Schizosaccharomyces pombe: one gene and its partners. The gene in region 2 interacts genetically with the main gene of each other region. Each region holds a gene or a part of one and is shown on either strand. Other genes may lie near its edges.

Region 1 (4,409 bases), on a different chromosome or scaffold from region 2:
GCACAAGAAAACTACAGTGCTGCGTTCGGTAATGATGGCAGCTTTGCTTCGCATTTAACTAATACGTTTGACAACGCTCTAAATCTTCCTACAGACATTCCAACCACTGAAAGCATAAATGACTTGTTTGGTGAGAACTTTGACTTCACCATGACAAAATGAGTTGAGTTGACTTCAGTTCAGCTATGTATGATCGGTTTAACGTGGTTGTTTCAATTTGTCAATGTTTTTTTCATGTATTATTATCTATTACTATAGTCATTCATTTCCAGATCATTCAACAAAAAACCTATAAACGGTAATTATAAAAAACAATTGCATGTCTTTATCCGGTGAGTATCATTTGATTGTATTGCTCTGCACCTTTATGTATGAAAACTAGAGTTGAGACAGTAAGTAGAAAAGCGTTGTCTTTTTCCTATGTTTAGGCCAATGCTAAAATCTCGAATACTTGGTACAATTAGTGTATGTATATATATTTTTACGTGCAAATGGTATTTTAGCAGGAACGGGACAAAATAAAGACAACCCGTAACTTCAGAATAATAATTATAATTCGACTTTTAAATCGAAAATTAAAGACGATAAAAGGGTAAAATAAATTTTTTTTGGTGAACGTATAGCCTTTGTTATAAACACCAATGCATGCACGCAAGTACATTCATAATATTTGCGAAGCAATTGTAAATAAAAATACCGAAAACACTCACGAAGAACCTTAAAAAGAGTGAAATGTTTGTACCTTTAAATGGGTATGAAGAGGGCTAATGATGAATATACGATTGATTCGAACAGTGGCACGCAGATTGGAGGAAAAGGTAGCAAATCATGAAAAAAGAAAAAAGAAACTAGATTTGGACAGATTTAGGATCGATATTTAGACACATTACTTTTAGACAAAAAAGAAGAACAAGAGAAACATGCACAAAGTGGTTTATAAAAAGAAGAGTAATTAATTAGAAAAAATAAGTCGACCCAAAGGAAAACCATGTCCAAATGAGAATACAAGGTCCATAAATAAAGGAAAAGAATCGATGCAATTACAGTGCTTGGTAAACAAAAAAATAGGATTAAGTCATTCCGGCTTCCAAACAAGTACTGTGGATGAGGTAAAGACATCGAAAAACCGTTACGAAACAACAGAAAGCACATCATTGAATCCATCAAATACCTAATAATAGTCATTACTGTATGAATCATTATCAGCGGTAAGTCCTGAATCATCGAGATCACCGGGATTGCGAGTCAAGTTAACTACAATACAAGTGATATTGTCTGTACTAAGACGTTTTAATGCAAATTCTACCAGGCGAACAGCGGCTTCGCGAGGGCTTACGAAATTGCGAACAAAGTCGACAGCTTCCTGATCCGATACTACATCCCACAAGCCATCACAAGCGATAATGAAGAACTCATCATGACCGTTCCAGATTCGGGTTTCAGTGGTGAAGGGATGCGCACTGACCAATTCCTTAAGATAGGTATCACCTAAGGCCCTTGTGACAGCAAGAACGCCATTAATTCGGTTTTGTACCATGAGACCACCCAACTGGGTCACACGACGAGACTCATTGGCATCGGATCCCTTGTGATCGTAAGAAAGTCGAATAGCCTTACCATCACGGCATAATACGATACGTGCATCACCTGCATTAGCTGTGTAGAGAACACGGCGGGTGCGGTTTTTCTCATATCTAAAGAAAGCAACTGCAGCGGTACAACCGCAAATGTCATTGTGAGTAGCCTTTGCAATTTTGCTGTTGACCTCGACAAATGTTTCGTCCATTAGGTCTGTGACCAGCCGGTCCGGCTCATTCCTAACCTTTTCCAAAAGTACCTTGTGAAGATTCTTCTGACAGTAGTCAGATGCTTGAATGCCAGCATGTCCGTCATAAACGGCAACGAAGCCGTCGTCCTGATTACCCCCAAAATCATACAAGCAAATATGAGTATCCTCCATAGACCTACGCCATCTTTGGTTTTTATCCTCCATCAGTCCAGCAAGCCAGTTAGAGGCTTTACTAGGGCGCGAGTTACCAACTGGGACTGTGTTGCCTTTACTATCCTTCATCTCAATTGCAATCGGTCGAGTTTCTCCATCCGCCGAATGATCACTAGCGTTTTTTCGATGTCCACTTGTAGAATTTTCAGAAAATGGGTTCAACTTGTGAAGTGGTTCCAACAGGGAACCTGCATTTGGATGGCTTCCCTTCATATTCGTTCAAACACTTCAGTACCGACAAAAAAATTGCTTTTCAAATTAACTAAATACCTTCAATTATAATATCAGGTATAAAATTGCTGATTGTATAGTATATACGAGAAACACCGATTTTCCTTGGGTTTCTGCGTAAGTATAAACTTGTTAAGTCAGTCAGTGCTAATAAACTCGGGCATTTACGTCACGCGTGGTATACCGAGATCTTCGGAAATCATTTTTACGTACTAGGTTAACTTCCACTAAACCGTTATCCGCTCTGCATTGAACTACATTATAATACAAAAATGCTAACAAAAGGCTATTAGAAAATTAGAAATAGTAAGCAGCAATAAGCTGTTGTTTTGAATATATGAACTAAACGTTTGATTTATTCTAGACAAAAATATTGAACCATGTATTGAAATCCTTCGACTTTTACACTTGCTTTCGCGTGACTTTGGTTCGCATTACTGAAAAAAATTTGTCATGTGTTCGTCTAGTGAATTTGCTAAATATCAATTATCCGGTCTACCCATAATAATCAATTAGAAACGTTTCGCAACATAAACATGCTAACAAGAATAACAGTGTTCATATAAATAATTAAAAGTAACTTTTTCCGTATGTAAAATAAGGATGTGGCTTTGTCCATATCGGCTTTCATAATACAATTAATGAAATTATAATTTGTTTGTATAAGCAAAACAGACAGAACTATCACGAAGTATCCAAAATTTCCATAAACCGAGCCTCAAAGATGAAGTCGAAGAACATTTGAGAAGATTAAAAGAAATAGTGTCCAACTTCTATTTTGCGACAAGATTTATAGAATGCTTGTCGCATGCTCTTGGCTATGCCGCCAACAATAAGCAACGACTTGAAATATTTTAATAATCAAGGGGGAGGTAATAACGGCTCATGGTATGAAAGAAAATAAAATAAATTGCTTTAGAAATAAAAAGAACGAAGGACGGATTTGAGGGGACATGCCTTGGGAGTTCTTACGCAGTAAGGACTTTAACAGCAACAATCATTTTTTTGCGGTTAAGAAAACGAATTAAGGATGTCATTATCAAAATAAAAATCATAAAAAAGCAAGAAGACTCGAATAATGAAAGATGTCAATTTTGATCACACATGACTTCTTGATAAAACAAAAAATTAAAGAACAAGGGTAATGTGTGAAGCAAAGGTACGCCTTTATCGCTCTTTCAACAAGTGTTTTCAACGGATAAATGCCTGTCAGCAGGGACCATGGGCGGACTACTTGGCATCACCAAATCTGTCATCAGAGGAATATCGCGTCTTTCTTCATTATCGAGTTGAGAATTCAACCCCAATTCTAAAGAAAAATCATATCTTTCTGGTAATTGAGGTGAATTCTCAATGTTATTGGATTTTGCAACCGAAGACAATGCCTTTGATAAATCAAACTTTGGCTTATGCCTTGGTGTCAATACGTTTTGGTCAGGGTCAGACAAAAATAACTCTGACCTCCAGGGTGATGGACTTTGTTGTTGCTTTTGTAAGGTAGTTGGTTTTGGAGGGGTTCTGAAATAGCACTCTAAATCATCATTTTCTTTTTCTGAATCGCAAACAGGCAGAGTTGGCTCTGTCTCTTCTTTATTTACTTTAGGCATAGGCTTTGTTGTGGTTTTCAAAGGAAAAGCGACGTTTTCCTTGTCAGTACACATGAAATCAGTTTTTCTTAAAACATCATTTTGTATATTGGCACTTAGTGAATTTGGTAATACCAGCCAACTATCATTAGACCCAATTTCGGATAAAGGCTCACGAAATGATGTATCAGGAGTAGGTGCAACAATGGGAGATGATTGTATGCGTCTGAGGTCATTTTTCAGCTTAGCAGTACGGGGACCTCCTCTGGATTTCTGCTGATTAACAACAGAGGGTTTTGAGATATGATTGGGATCAGGTGCAGAGTGTGTTGAGTCTAAAGACGTAAGTCTATTCAGAGGAGAGTGCCGTCCTGCATTTTCAAGCTCACGGAAGATGGATATAGATAGTTTTCGTTGCTGGGAAAGTTTATATACGGCTAACTCAAGCTGAGCAAATGCATCATTTTCCAACGGTTTCTCTGTTTCAAATGCTTTATAGGTAGACCATAAATTTCTTGGACGCATCGAGCGCCGACTCGTCCAATATATACCACATGCATTACAAAGCATCAAAGTTATGTTCATGTACG
Region 2 (4,400 bases):
GTACTCAATTGTTACTTTGTCTGGTTGATCTATTTGATCTGTTACTTGTCGTTGGCTTTTTTTTTTTTCTTTCTTACCCGGGGGACTATTAAGTGATATCATTGTTTGGTGCTCCAAGATATACCTATTTCTACTTCTTCTTCTCTTTCTACATATCGCTCGCTCGTCCTCTCCCTTCCTCCTCTTAACCCTTTACTTGCTCCCAATCCTTTTTATCTTTTGGGTTTCCTGTTTAAACGTTGGGTAAAGTATAAGATTGGATCTTATTTTCATCGTCGTTTTGTTGGATCGTATGAAAAATTTTACCTTGGTTCGTCGCTCAGTCCTTGCTCTGATCGTTTGGTAAAAATCAAAAATCGTTAGACTTGATTTCGTTGACGTTTAGTGCGTTTAATTCTCTTTCTTAGATTTTTTCCTCCATCCTTCATCTCGTCAACAGTTCTCTCTGTTGTCTCTCCACCGCTATACGTAGCTTTTAAAAGTCGTTTGTTTCATTACCTGCGCCCATCTTTTCTTTTCTAAACTTTAACTCAAAGTGAATAAATAGGAAGAACTAGTCTTTTTTCCTTCCATAAAAGAGCACCAGATATATCGTTGAATCGCCGTGCTTTTTCTATTTGCTTCATTTTTTTATCCCGTACGATGCAAAATAGTTAATTTCTTCAACTTTTCTCAACTTTTGTTTCACCACTTCTTTCTCTCAATTGGGTTAGATTTTTCTCCTTTTACATTTTTTTTATACCTCCCTCTTTTTTTTTCTTGTTTCCTTTTCGTTGATATTTTCATATTTTCGGAATTCTCCTTTTCTAGTTATCCTATTTCTCGTTTCATCATTTTCTTTGTCTTTTCTCAAAAAGGTGTACTCTTGGGTTTCTTTCCACAGTGTAGTATCGCTTTTTTTGAACCTTTGAAGAGCTCATATATTCCTTTCCCTTGAGTTTTTCGGATTAAGTTTTGAATTTTTTTCCCATTTTCTTCATTGCTTTACCGTTTGTTTTCACTTCACTTTGGGGTCTTGGTGGTTACTTGTCTATTGTTTTTTTTGTGGGGTTCTGCATTCTGAATAGTTCTGTTTCTTTTTTTCTGAACTCATCTGTCTAAGTATTCACCATTCATTTGGTTTATTTACAGACGTGTGCTCTGTAATTTTCATCCTTAGTTGACCTTACGTTTTTGCTAGTTTGTTGCATCAACGTGCTTTTGGTTCCCCCCTTTAGCTTTGAATACGCTTCTGACTTTTAAATTGGGTTTTCTGTTTTGTAGGAAAATTATTCCATTGTCATTACATTTCAATTAGCCTCTACCTCTTTTCGTTCCTCGATCTCCTACTTGTATACTTTTCTGCACTTTGACAAACTGCAACTTATAATATTTCTTATACCCTCTATCTTATATTTTTGTTCAGTCTGGTTACTGTTTTCGTGCGTGTGCCCTACCTTTTTGCATTTTCTACTAAATACGAAATAATTTCTTAAATAGTGTTGCTTTTTGCAATCTTGCACTGTGCACTCACAAGCAGTATTTTTATTTTCCTCTTAAAATCGCTTGACCTTTGAAGTGACGATTCATTAATCCGTTAATTTTTAAGGATTCCCCCTTTTTATTCTCATATTTGCATAGTACTGATTCAAACCCATTCTTTGAATTGGATACTCCTCATCCCCTCTAAAACTCTTCCATCTTTATTTTCTGCAGAAAGTTTGAATTGAAAAACTTTTTTCATCTCAGACTTGATTTGAATCTTCTCTTGTTTCCTTCTATATTTTACTAATTTTATTGCCAAATTTTGCGTTAATTCTTTCCTTTTTAGAACCCTGGATTTTCCGTAATTTTGATATTTCCTATCCATTCATTATTTTGCTTTCGGCCTTCAAAACTTGTGCTATCCAATATTTGTATTTTATTTAAGAAGTCTGAATTTTTTTTTACTTTTTTACTTTTTTTTTTAATCATCTCTGCTTCTTTTTTAAGGCCAAATATTCTTAATACAAAACATTCATCTAAAAAACCACGATGAATTTTTCAAACGGTTCAAAATCGTCTACTTTTACAATTGCTCCTTCGGGTTCATGTATTGCTTTACCTCCTCAGCGGGGTGTAGCAACGAGTAAGTATGCTGTTCATGCTTCTTGCCTCCAAGAATATCTCGACAAGGAAGCTTGGAAGGATGACACATTGATCATCGACCTTCGTCCCGTATCCGAGTTTTCCAAATCTAGAATTAAGGGCTCCGTCAATCTTTCTTTACCTGCAACCTTAATTAAGCGTCCTGCCTTTTCGGTCGCGCGTATCATCAGCAATCTTCACGACGTCGACGACAAGAGAGATTTTCAAAACTGGCAAGAGTTTTCATCCATTCTTGTTTGTGTTCCTGCTTGGATTGCTAACTACGTAACGAACGCTGAGGTAATTGGTGAAAAATTTAGAAAAGAATCCTATTCTGGTGACTTCGGTATTTTAGATTTAGACTATTCGAAAGTCTCGGGCAAGTATCCATCTGTGATTGACAACTCTCCTGTAAAAAGTAAATTAGGTGCTTTGCCTAGCGCTCGCCCCAGATTGTCTTACTCTGCTGCTCAAACTGCTCCTATCTCTTTGTCCAGCGAAGGCTCCGATTACTTCTCTCGTCCTCCTCCCACTCCTAATGTTGCCGGTTTGTCTTTAAATAACTTTTTCTGTCCTCTACCTGAGAACAAGGACAACAAATCTTCTCCATTTGGCAGTGCTACAGTCCAGACACCCTGCTTACACAGTGTGCCCGATGCTTTTACCAATCCAGATGTTGCGACCCTCTACCAGAAGTTCTTGCGCCTGCAATCATTGGAGCATCAACGTCTAGTTTCTTGTTCGGATCGTAATTCTCAGTGGAGTACCGTTGATTCATTGAGTAATACATCGTATAAGAAAAACAGATATACCGACATTGTTCCTTACAATTGTACTCGTGTGCATTTGAAAAGAACTAGCCCTTCAGAGCTCGATTATATCAATGCTTCCTTTATCAAAACTGAAACTTCAAATTACATCGCTTGCCAAGGTTCTATTTCTCGTTCTATTAGCGATTTCTGGCACATGGTATGGGACAATGTGGAGAATATAGGCACTATTGTTATGCTTGGTTCATTGTTCGAGGCTGGCCGCGAAATGTGTACTGCATATTGGCCAAGTAATGGTATTGGAGATAAACAAGTGTATGGAGATTACTGTGTCAAACAAATTTCGGAGGAAAATGTCGATAATTCTCGATTCATTTTGCGAAAGTTTGAAATTCAGAATGCCAATTTTCCTTCAGTTAAAAAAGTACATCACTATCAATATCCTAATTGGTCTGATTGTAATTCTCCTGAAAACGTGAAATCTATGGTTGAGTTCTTAAAATATGTGAACAACTCTCACGGATCAGGAAATACTATTGTGCACTGCTCTGCCGGTGTTGGTCGGACAGGAACCTTTATTGTACTAGATACGATCCTACGCTTCCCAGAAAGCAAACTTTCTGGTTTCAATCCTTCTGTCGCCGATTCTTCAGACGTCGTTTTCCAGTTGGTTGATCATATCCGAAAGCAGCGGATGAAGATGGTTCAAACCTTCACACAATTTAAATATGTGTATGACTTGATCGATTCTTTGCAAAAATCTCAAGTTCATTTCCCGGTTTTAACATGAAATTTTTGACTGGATTTTTCTTGGCAATATATATTCGTGTTTTAATCGATTCCTTTATTTCTTGTACTTGTAAAGTGTCTTTTTTTTTACATTTGCATTTGAATTTACTGTCAATGTTTGTGAAATTCAGTTGCTTTAATCACGTTGTCTTTTATTTCAAAAAGTATATTTGAGAACTAGGCTTTTTAATGATATCTTTTTTTCTCTTAAATTTTCTTTTTAGAACTTTGTAAACCTATTTTTTGTACAAGATAAAGTCATCAAACTGATAATAACCTTGTATTATTTTCAGATGCTTTTTAAAATTTATTACTCGATTTCTTTAGGCAGAAATATAGAGTTTAAGCGAAGTGGTCGTGATCAAGAGCAATAGAATTCTTTCTTCACTGATTAAAGGTGAGACGATTCATTAAATATACATTCATTTGAACTATCGTTTGTATGTTTTTAAGTAAGACAAACTTGCAGGAACAAAGATTTTTTATAATACACATTAAACGTAACTCAATATAAATAAATTATTATGGCAATCATTAGGATGCAGATATTCCAATAGTACCTAGAATGCTTTTATATTCACTTTGTCTTTATGCGGTTCATAAGCTGACTCCATTTTTGTAAAGCCATCATATGGTCCTCGTCTAAAACGGCCAAGTTAACTTTAGTTTCAGCAAGCTGCTTTTCTTTTCTAAAGATTTCATCTTCGAGAGACTGACTTTCAACCATAATTTCTA
Region 3 (7,784 bases), on a different chromosome or scaffold from region 2:
TAATCTTGGAAAAAATCAGCAAGTTTTTTTAAGGATTTTATCTGAATCTATCAAAACTTATACTTTGTTATGTGCACATGATTCACAGAAGCGTATTGGGGGTTCAATTCAAGAGTTTGAATTTATTAGTTTCTGCCAACAAAAAAGGATATTTGGGCGACTATTGCCCTCTCTAGATTCACCGGTTACCAAATCTATTACTGATGATAGAGTTGAGCCGTTACTTGTGAAGGATACATTTCGAGAATTCGCCGAAGCCAGTGTCTCTGGTTTATTATCATGTGACGAATCGTTTCACTACTTGACGCAATTATACTATACTGCCGATATAGTTCGAAACTTATGGATTCTTTTGTCACAAAGAAACTCTTTACTGAAATGTATGGAATCAGTTGAATTTGAAGCCTTTGACTATGAGCAGCTAAAGGGGTTTGAGCACTTAGTTATCCAAATTTGGAAAAGTCTTCGTGTCGACGGAGCAGGATTAATCAATTTTGATTGTTGTACGGAGGATGATCTAAATAATCCTCATCTTTTGTTTACACTGTATAAACTATTGGAAAGGTTTTCTCTAATCTTCCTTCGAAAATGTGCTTTGCTTTGGTATTGCCGCTATGGAGTTTCATTTGAGACGCAACCGAATTTAAACTTTCAAAATTCAGAATTATCACGTTTACAAACAAAAATGCATATTCCAGGTGTTATTGAATTATCTAATCATCTTTGTCTTACGGCATCTTCCACAGAATGGAGCCTTATAAAGCACTGGTGTAATTTCTTTACAGAGACTGGTCCTCTATGCGATTTTCCTCGCGCTTATTACCCTGGAATTTATGAACTAGTTTCTTTACCGTATGAATTGGATAAAGTCTTTGAGTTACTATTGGCCAGGCGATGCTCGAAATGTTTAACTGAACCTATGGAACCAGCGATATGTTTATTTTGTGGGAAGCTCTTATGCTTCCAAAGTCATTGTTGTTCCTTTAATGGTATTGGAGAATGTAATCTTCATATGCAACAATGCGCTTCTGACATTGGAATTTTTCTTATTGTCAAAAAATGCGCTATTCTCTACCTCAATCCACCTGTAGGAAGCTTCTCTGTAGCTCCATTTTTGGATGCGTATGGAGAGACAGATTTGGGATTGCGTCGTGGCCGCTCTCAATATCTATCACAAAAACGTTATGATGAAACAGTACGAACGATGTGGCTAAACGGATCTATTCCTTCTTATATTGCTCGACAACTGGATGCGAATCCAGACACCGGAGGTTGGGAAACACTTTAGGCTAAACAATGGGAGTTTACGTGATCTAAGCTACTAATTTTTTTAATGCTTCAAACACCTTGATTATTTATTAGGATATATATACCAAAACTTGACATTTTATCATTTAATTCATATTCATTGACCTGTAAATATAGGTTACTTTACAAACATTTCGTCTCATTCAAACAGTCAATCGTATTGCCCTTATATTTAAGGGGCGAGTATCATTTAAGGATAAAATTAGATGAAAGTTTCATGAATACTTTAAAACTCAGTTTGAAACTTTGATAAAAGAAGCTTTTTTAACTCATCAGTCAAATCCAATGTTAATTAATGGAAGGAGTAATGGAAAGCCTTCAAAAAAAAAAATAAAAAAATCATAGTAATTAATTCAAGACCGCCTTCATCTAGTATATTCAGTAGATTTGTTTACAAATCGATGAAATAGTGACGTACGCAGTATTCGAACGCGCCTTACAGTTTCTTCCTCACTAATTCACTGAGAACACATAGTGTTGGAAATTACCACTCTGGAATATAGTTTAGAGTTAGGAAGATACATGAGGTGTTGGAACCCAAACCCTTTCTTGTTCTAAACCTAACAAGTGATATAATCAGACAAAGAAACGCTGGTGTTGGAACTAGGATAATAGAGCAAATACTAGTTCTATAAATTCAATATTCCTTCCTTGGATAGGGATATAACCATTATTGAATTTTCCTTGTCCAAAATTCGCGTATAGTGGTATTTTTGAAACGAAGGTGCTACAGATTCTTAGGAAGGATGCAAATTGCCACTAATGGATCAAAGCAAGCGATTGTTAAAGTCAGCTGTTCCAAACCCGCCTGAACATTTTAAAACAGGTATATCCTGGCTTGATGACCTTGACGAGAAGGACGATGACTCAGCGACGTCTGTGAACTATGATATACCAGAAATAACCGAAGCAAATCTCTGTAATGACTCCCATGAAGCTCTTTCACCTTGCACTCAACCTGTCGGTAATTCTGGACGACCTGTCGAAGCTTTTAAGACCTATCCTAGCACTCCTGCAGTACCTAGCAAAAGCGTGCTTTTCCATTTTTATGAACCGGATGAGAACTTTAGCTTATCTGACACGGGACGTACTAAATCGGATACCGCCTTAGCTGCAAGAGAAAGCTCTGAAAAGTCTGAAGTGCCACGTGATACCCGTAGTGCTGGGATAAAGCCATACAAAGAAAATAACTCGTCTAATTGTGCAATTTCTAAAGAAGCAGGCCTTCGAAGACTTATTGATAAGGACAGAGAATCTTTCGACAAAAACCTGAATCAGTCATTTACCAATCTAACTTTTCCAGAACCGATTTCTGATGACAGTGACAGTGTGGAGTTTCAACGTGATTCTCTTAATAACAATTGGCCAGCTAGTTTGGAAGGTAGCATACACGAATTACCCAGGAATAGTGATGATGATGGAATCCCTGCTTCTGCGGCTCATATCCTGGACCTCGATTATCATAGAGATAGTTATGATAGCCCTTGGAAGAAGTTTTTACCGTACCCTTCCATTTTATCCGATGATTCTTGGAAAGCTCCGGAGAGTTGGGGAACTAGTTTGCCCACTGAGGCTATTCCAAAGCAGGTTTTTACTACTAGATTTTTTGCTCGTCCTTCCCTGGGCAATAGAAAGAAAGAGTTCTTTCTTCGAGTATACCGTGATGATCGAACTTCCGTATCATTCATTTGCCCTATTGGCATACAAACTCATGAAGTGATTAAGCTGTTAGCAAGGTTATTTTTTCTTCCCTCGTCTGCTAATTTTTACCTCTTATTAATCCAATTCAATACAGAACGTATTTTGTTGCCTCATGAACAGCCATGCATTATATTTGAACGATTATTGAGTTTGTTTGGGTGTAAGGTAACTTCCGATGAAGAAATAAATGAAGAAGATAATTATAGTGTTGCTAGATTGGTGTTTACTACGATGGATATTGGAGCGGATGTATTGCGTAAATTCTCTGAAAAAAAAATTACTGCGAACCTTGACATTAGTAGGTCAAACCTGGAGGTTATTCCGGTAAAGATCTATCCCTATGCCCATGAACTTATCTCGTTGAATGTTTCGCACAATTTATCGCTGGACCTGCCTTTAGATTTCATGGAGCGCTGTGTCAAGCTTAAGCGGTTAGACATTTCCAATAATTTAAGGTCTCCAAGAGGAAAACCGATTACTGCTCTTCGCCAATTGGAAGTTTTGAACATGTCTCGTAACGATATATATGAATTGGATCCTCTTATATTCTCTGGGCTTAGTCGAAATTCTCTGAAAGAATTGAATATAGCTAATAATAAGCTGTTCTTCCTTCCCCATTCTACTAGATATTTGGTGAATCTAACCTATCTTGATTTATCCTACAATAATTTTGTGACTTTCCCTTTAATAATTACTGAGTTGTCCCAATTGGAGACTCTTAACTTTTCGCATAATTTATTGTCACAGATATCTAGCAAAATTGGCTCTCTTGTTAAATTGAAGCATCTATATCTACAATTTAATGATTTATCTAATCGGCTTCCACAGGAAATAGGCTTGCTAAAAAATCTGGAAACAATTGACCTTAGTTATAATGCGATTACTAACATCGCCAGTTTATCTGAATGTCCGAAACTAAATAGCATCAATGTAGCTTGCAATTTACTTTCTTTTTACGAATATTCCAATCCGTCAGCTACATTCATCGACTTCTCGTTTTGTCCACTGACTACAATTGATCCGGCATTTAGCTATAGCAATCTCGTCTACTTTGATATCTCACATGCGAAGCTTATTGGGCTCAAGGATTCTGTCATTGAAACTTTAGTAAATGTAGAAACAGTGAAAGTGAATTACAACCACTTTACTAGCATTTCCGATGCAATTTCTGCTATGCAAAATTTGAAATATTTGTCTTGCACGAACTGTGAAATGTCTTATGTTTCACCAAACCTTGGCAAATTAAAGCATTTAGTTCACCTGGATTTACATGCAAATAATATCAAAATATTCCCTGAGGAAGTATGGCAAGTCTCTTCACTAAAAGTTGTTAACCTGTCTTCCAATATCCTGGAGAAAATCAAGTTACCAGTTGCAACGTCAAAAAAATTAACTAGGACAATTAGCCAATTAAAAATCATGCGTACTTTATCAGGAAATCCGGTATCGAGCCTCTCCTCCCAAGAATTTGTTATGCCTACCGTTGAAGAATTATACTTGGTGGACAACAGATTGGGCAATGACTGTTTTACGGCTTTAGAATACTTTAAGTGTTTAAAAGTCTTAAATTTATCTTACAATTATTTAACGGAAATTCCAAGCAAGTTTTTCCAAAATTTTTCTGATCTTAAACACCTTTTTGTGTCAGGAAATGAGCTTGCAAATCTTTCCATTTCCAGTACAGCGCAGGTCCTACTTGAAACTTTGTACGCGAATGGAAATCGTCTTTCCTCTTTTCCTAAAAATGAAGCTTTGTCTAAAAGTTTAAGATTTTTGGACATAAGTACCAATAATCTGCAGAATTTAGCAGTAGAAAAAGCTGAAAAGAAGAGTTTAACTAAACTTCCTCAATTGGAATACCTTAATCTATCTGGTAACACATGGTTTCGATTCTCTGAGCATGAAGATACAAACTTTACAAAATCATATTTGAAGAATTTAAAGTTTTTGAGCATCATGGATTTGAATACAAAATTTTCTAATGCGCCTTCTGATGTTCTAAACCATTTTATTCAACGCAACTCTCCTCAACCTAACATTTTGAGGTATGGAGTATGTGGATACCTTTCTCGTTCTATTCCCGTCATCTCTGCATGTGAATTAGTTGTTAACAACTTTTTGCATCCTCAATCATCTTTATACTGTGTGCTTGACAGTGACATCAGCGCTGGAAAAAACAACCGGGTTTTAAAATTTGTGTACGACAATTTGGCTTCATGCCTAGCGCATGAGATTAATGCAGCAGATTCCTCTTCTGAACAAATTTGTAACGCTTTGAGAAGAGGATTTCTTCGTTTAAACAAAAAATTAGGAAATGTCATTCATTATGACCTTAGGAAGTCTTCAGAAGGAGACGTGGATAGTAATTACGTTACCACTATGAATATTTCAGAAAAGGGTTATTCTATGGACAGTTCTTGCTTGGATATAGGAGTTAGCATTATCTTAGTGTACGTCAGGGATACAAGAGCTTTCGTTGCCAATGTGGGCACATCAATGGCTATAATGTCTACGAGAAATGATTCGGAACCTACAACTTTAAGTGTCATGCATGATGTGTACAATAGGGATGAAATTCGTCGCATAGTTGATTCATGTGGTTTCATATCTGGTGAAATAAAATCGACCACTACACGTGCTATTGGTCGTTTGTCTCAATTTCCTGGCGTCCAAGCAGTTCCCTATGTTAATGTGCAGTACTTATCTGAACTAAACGAATTTATCATTCTAGCAAATCAGGAATTTTGGAGCGTATTATCAAAACGCACAGTAATTGACGTTGTTCGTGCCAACAGACATTCTCCTCTATTAGCCTCTACGAAGCTACGTGACTATGCTATTGCATATGGTGCAGAAAAAAATGTTCTTGTAGTTATCGTCGAATTGAACGGATTGTTTGAAGAGAATTCCCTTAATTTCAACCAACTACGGGGGGATGAAAAAACTTTAGCAATTTCTGAAAAGAACGATAATATGTCATTTGTCCAAGATTTACCCGATGATTCTTCTTTAGCACGAATGAATAGAGAAGTCTCTCCCCCGAAAGGTTGTATTGCCATGGTTTTTACTGATATTAAGAATTCCACATTATTGTGGGAAAGACATCCTATTGCAATGAGATCTGCGATCAAAACTCATAATACTATTATGCGTCGGCAACTCCGTGCAACTGGAGGCTATGAAGTAAAAACCGAAGGAGATGCGTTTATGGTTTGTTTTCAAACAGTTCCTGCTGCATTACTTTGGTGTTTTTCAGTACAATTACAGTTACTTTCGGCAGATTGGCCCAACGAAATAGTTGAGTCAGTGCAAGGACGGTTGGTACTCGGCTCAAAAAATGAGGTGTTATATCGAGGGCTTAGTGTTCGAATTGGTGTCAATTATGGTGTAACCGTGAGTGAACTAGATCCCATCACTAGACGTATGGACTATTACGGGCCTGTAGTAAACAGAACATCTAGGGTTGTATCAGTCGCTGATGGTGGTCAAATTGCTGTTTCTGCTGAGGTGGTATCTGTATTGAATCAGCTTGATTCAGAAACAATGTCATCAGAGAAGACGAATGTCAACGAAATGGAAGTTCGTGCTCTTAAACAAATCGGTTATATTATCCATAACCTTGGAGAATTTAAGTTAAAAGGTTTGGATACTACTGAAATGATTTCATTGGTTTATCCTGTGCAATTGCAAGGAAGACTGGAGAGATTGATAAAGAGCCGAAGTTTGGGAACACCCACAGCCCTCCCGGAAACTCAGACTTATACTCCCGTTCGTAGTAGAAGCAACAGCTTGCGACCCATGTTAGCAAGATTGAGTGATTCAAAATCTGTCCATGGAGAGGAGGGTGGTTCTGGGAAGAGATCGGTTTCATCCTTGCGCAACGTATCACCATCAGAGAGTACTGGTGGATATGAAGGTTGTATTTTTGATGACCAACAGTATCAATTACTTTATGAACTTTGTGAGCGTCTTGAAGACCATGCCGCTATACTGCATGGGTTTCCTGAACCACCGCCTTGCGATACCGGTCTGGCAGCTCCCGTAAACCAGGCCGAGGAGTATTCATTGTTCTACCGTCTGACTTTGCGTATCGAGAATACTATTTATTGTGTCAGTCAAATGCTTGGACACACTGGCTAAATGAATGCATATAATGACTGCTATATTTAAATAATGTTTAACCCCATAAATAGTTTATATATATATATTTATTTTTTGTATATATAATTTGCATATTTTTAATAAAATTTTTTTTTTTTTTGCTATACCCTAAAGTTGGAATTATGGAATACCAAATTAACGTACGTGTTTCGAGGCAAATCAACTTTTATTTACTATTAGTAAACAATAAGAAACTGAACAACGGAACGACAGTAGACTGATACAAAAGTAAAAAAAAAGAAAAATTGTATTAAAGAAATACGAAATAAAATAATTTTCATGCAAAATGGTATAGGAGTAAAAAAACACAATGGGGGAAACTCGGTATAACACTTGATAACAATGTAAACCCCAAATAAAGATAAAAAAAAATGCAAAATAGAAGAAAAATGAAAAAGAAATCGTAAGAGTAAGATCGTAACTAAACTAAAAATACAGCAAAAAAATTTGGAAAGAATGAAGCAATAAAAATACTAAATAAACAAAATTGGAATCAAAACACTTGACAGCCCGGTATAAAAAAACTTGAGAAATGAAAGATAGAAAAAAAATAAGGAAAAAGACGGAGCTTCAACAATAGTAGTCTAAAGCCTAGAATGACGAGAAGATGTCTT

The links. Genes that interact genetically often act in the same process or in processes that back each other up.
Region 1: mutations in pyp1 (region 2) and ptc1 impair growth when combined (synthetic growth defect), as found in Schizosaccharomyces pombe (2 studies listed by BioGRID, with this or other methods).
Region 3: of pyp1 (region 2) and cyr1, extra expression of one rescues a mutant of the other (dosage rescue), as found in Schizosaccharomyces pombe (2 studies listed by BioGRID, with this or other methods).

The regions. Positions count from the first base shown.
Region 1 is NC_003421.2:2,002,485-2,006,893, reverse strand, and holds ptc1 (serine/threonine protein phosphatase PP2C catalytic subunit Ptc1), read right to left. Parts: upstream 2,359-4,409; 5' UTR 2,216-2,358; coding exon 1,172-2,215; 3' UTR 502-1,171; downstream 1-501. Other genes in the region: SPOM_SPCC4F11.03C (uncharacterized protein), read left to right, coding at 1-162; GATA-type transcription factor Ams2, read right to left, coding at 3,412-4,409. UniProt on the Schizosaccharomyces pombe protein: Serine and threonine phosphatase. Has a specialized role in the heat shock response. May be responsible for the dephosphorylation of hsp90.
Region 2 is NC_003424.3:5,159,499-5,163,898, forward strand, and holds pyp1 (protein tyrosine phosphatase Pyp1), read left to right. Parts: upstream 1-2,013; coding exon 2,014-3,666; 3' UTR 3,667-3,862; downstream 3,863-4,400. Other genes in the region: GTPase-activating protein Gyp51, read right to left, coding at 4,243-4,400. UniProt on the Schizosaccharomyces pombe protein: Plays a role in inhibiting the onset of mitosis. Dephosphorylates sty1/spc1 and wis1/spc2/sty2.
Region 3 is NC_003423.3:2,817,938-2,825,721, forward strand, and holds cyr1 (adenylate cyclase), read left to right. Parts: upstream 1-1,864; 5' UTR 1,865-2,070; coding exon 2,071-7,149; 3' UTR 7,150-7,283; downstream 7,284-7,784. Other genes in the region: N-end-recognizing protein, UBR ubiquitin-protein ligase E3 Ubr1, read left to right, coding at 1-1,288; SPOM_SPBC19C7.04C (uncharacterized protein), read right to left, coding at 7,755-7,784. UniProt on the Schizosaccharomyces pombe protein: Acts in glucose-induced cAMP signaling by catalyzing the synthesis of the second messenger, cAMP to activate PKA signaling and repress sexual development and gluconeogenesis.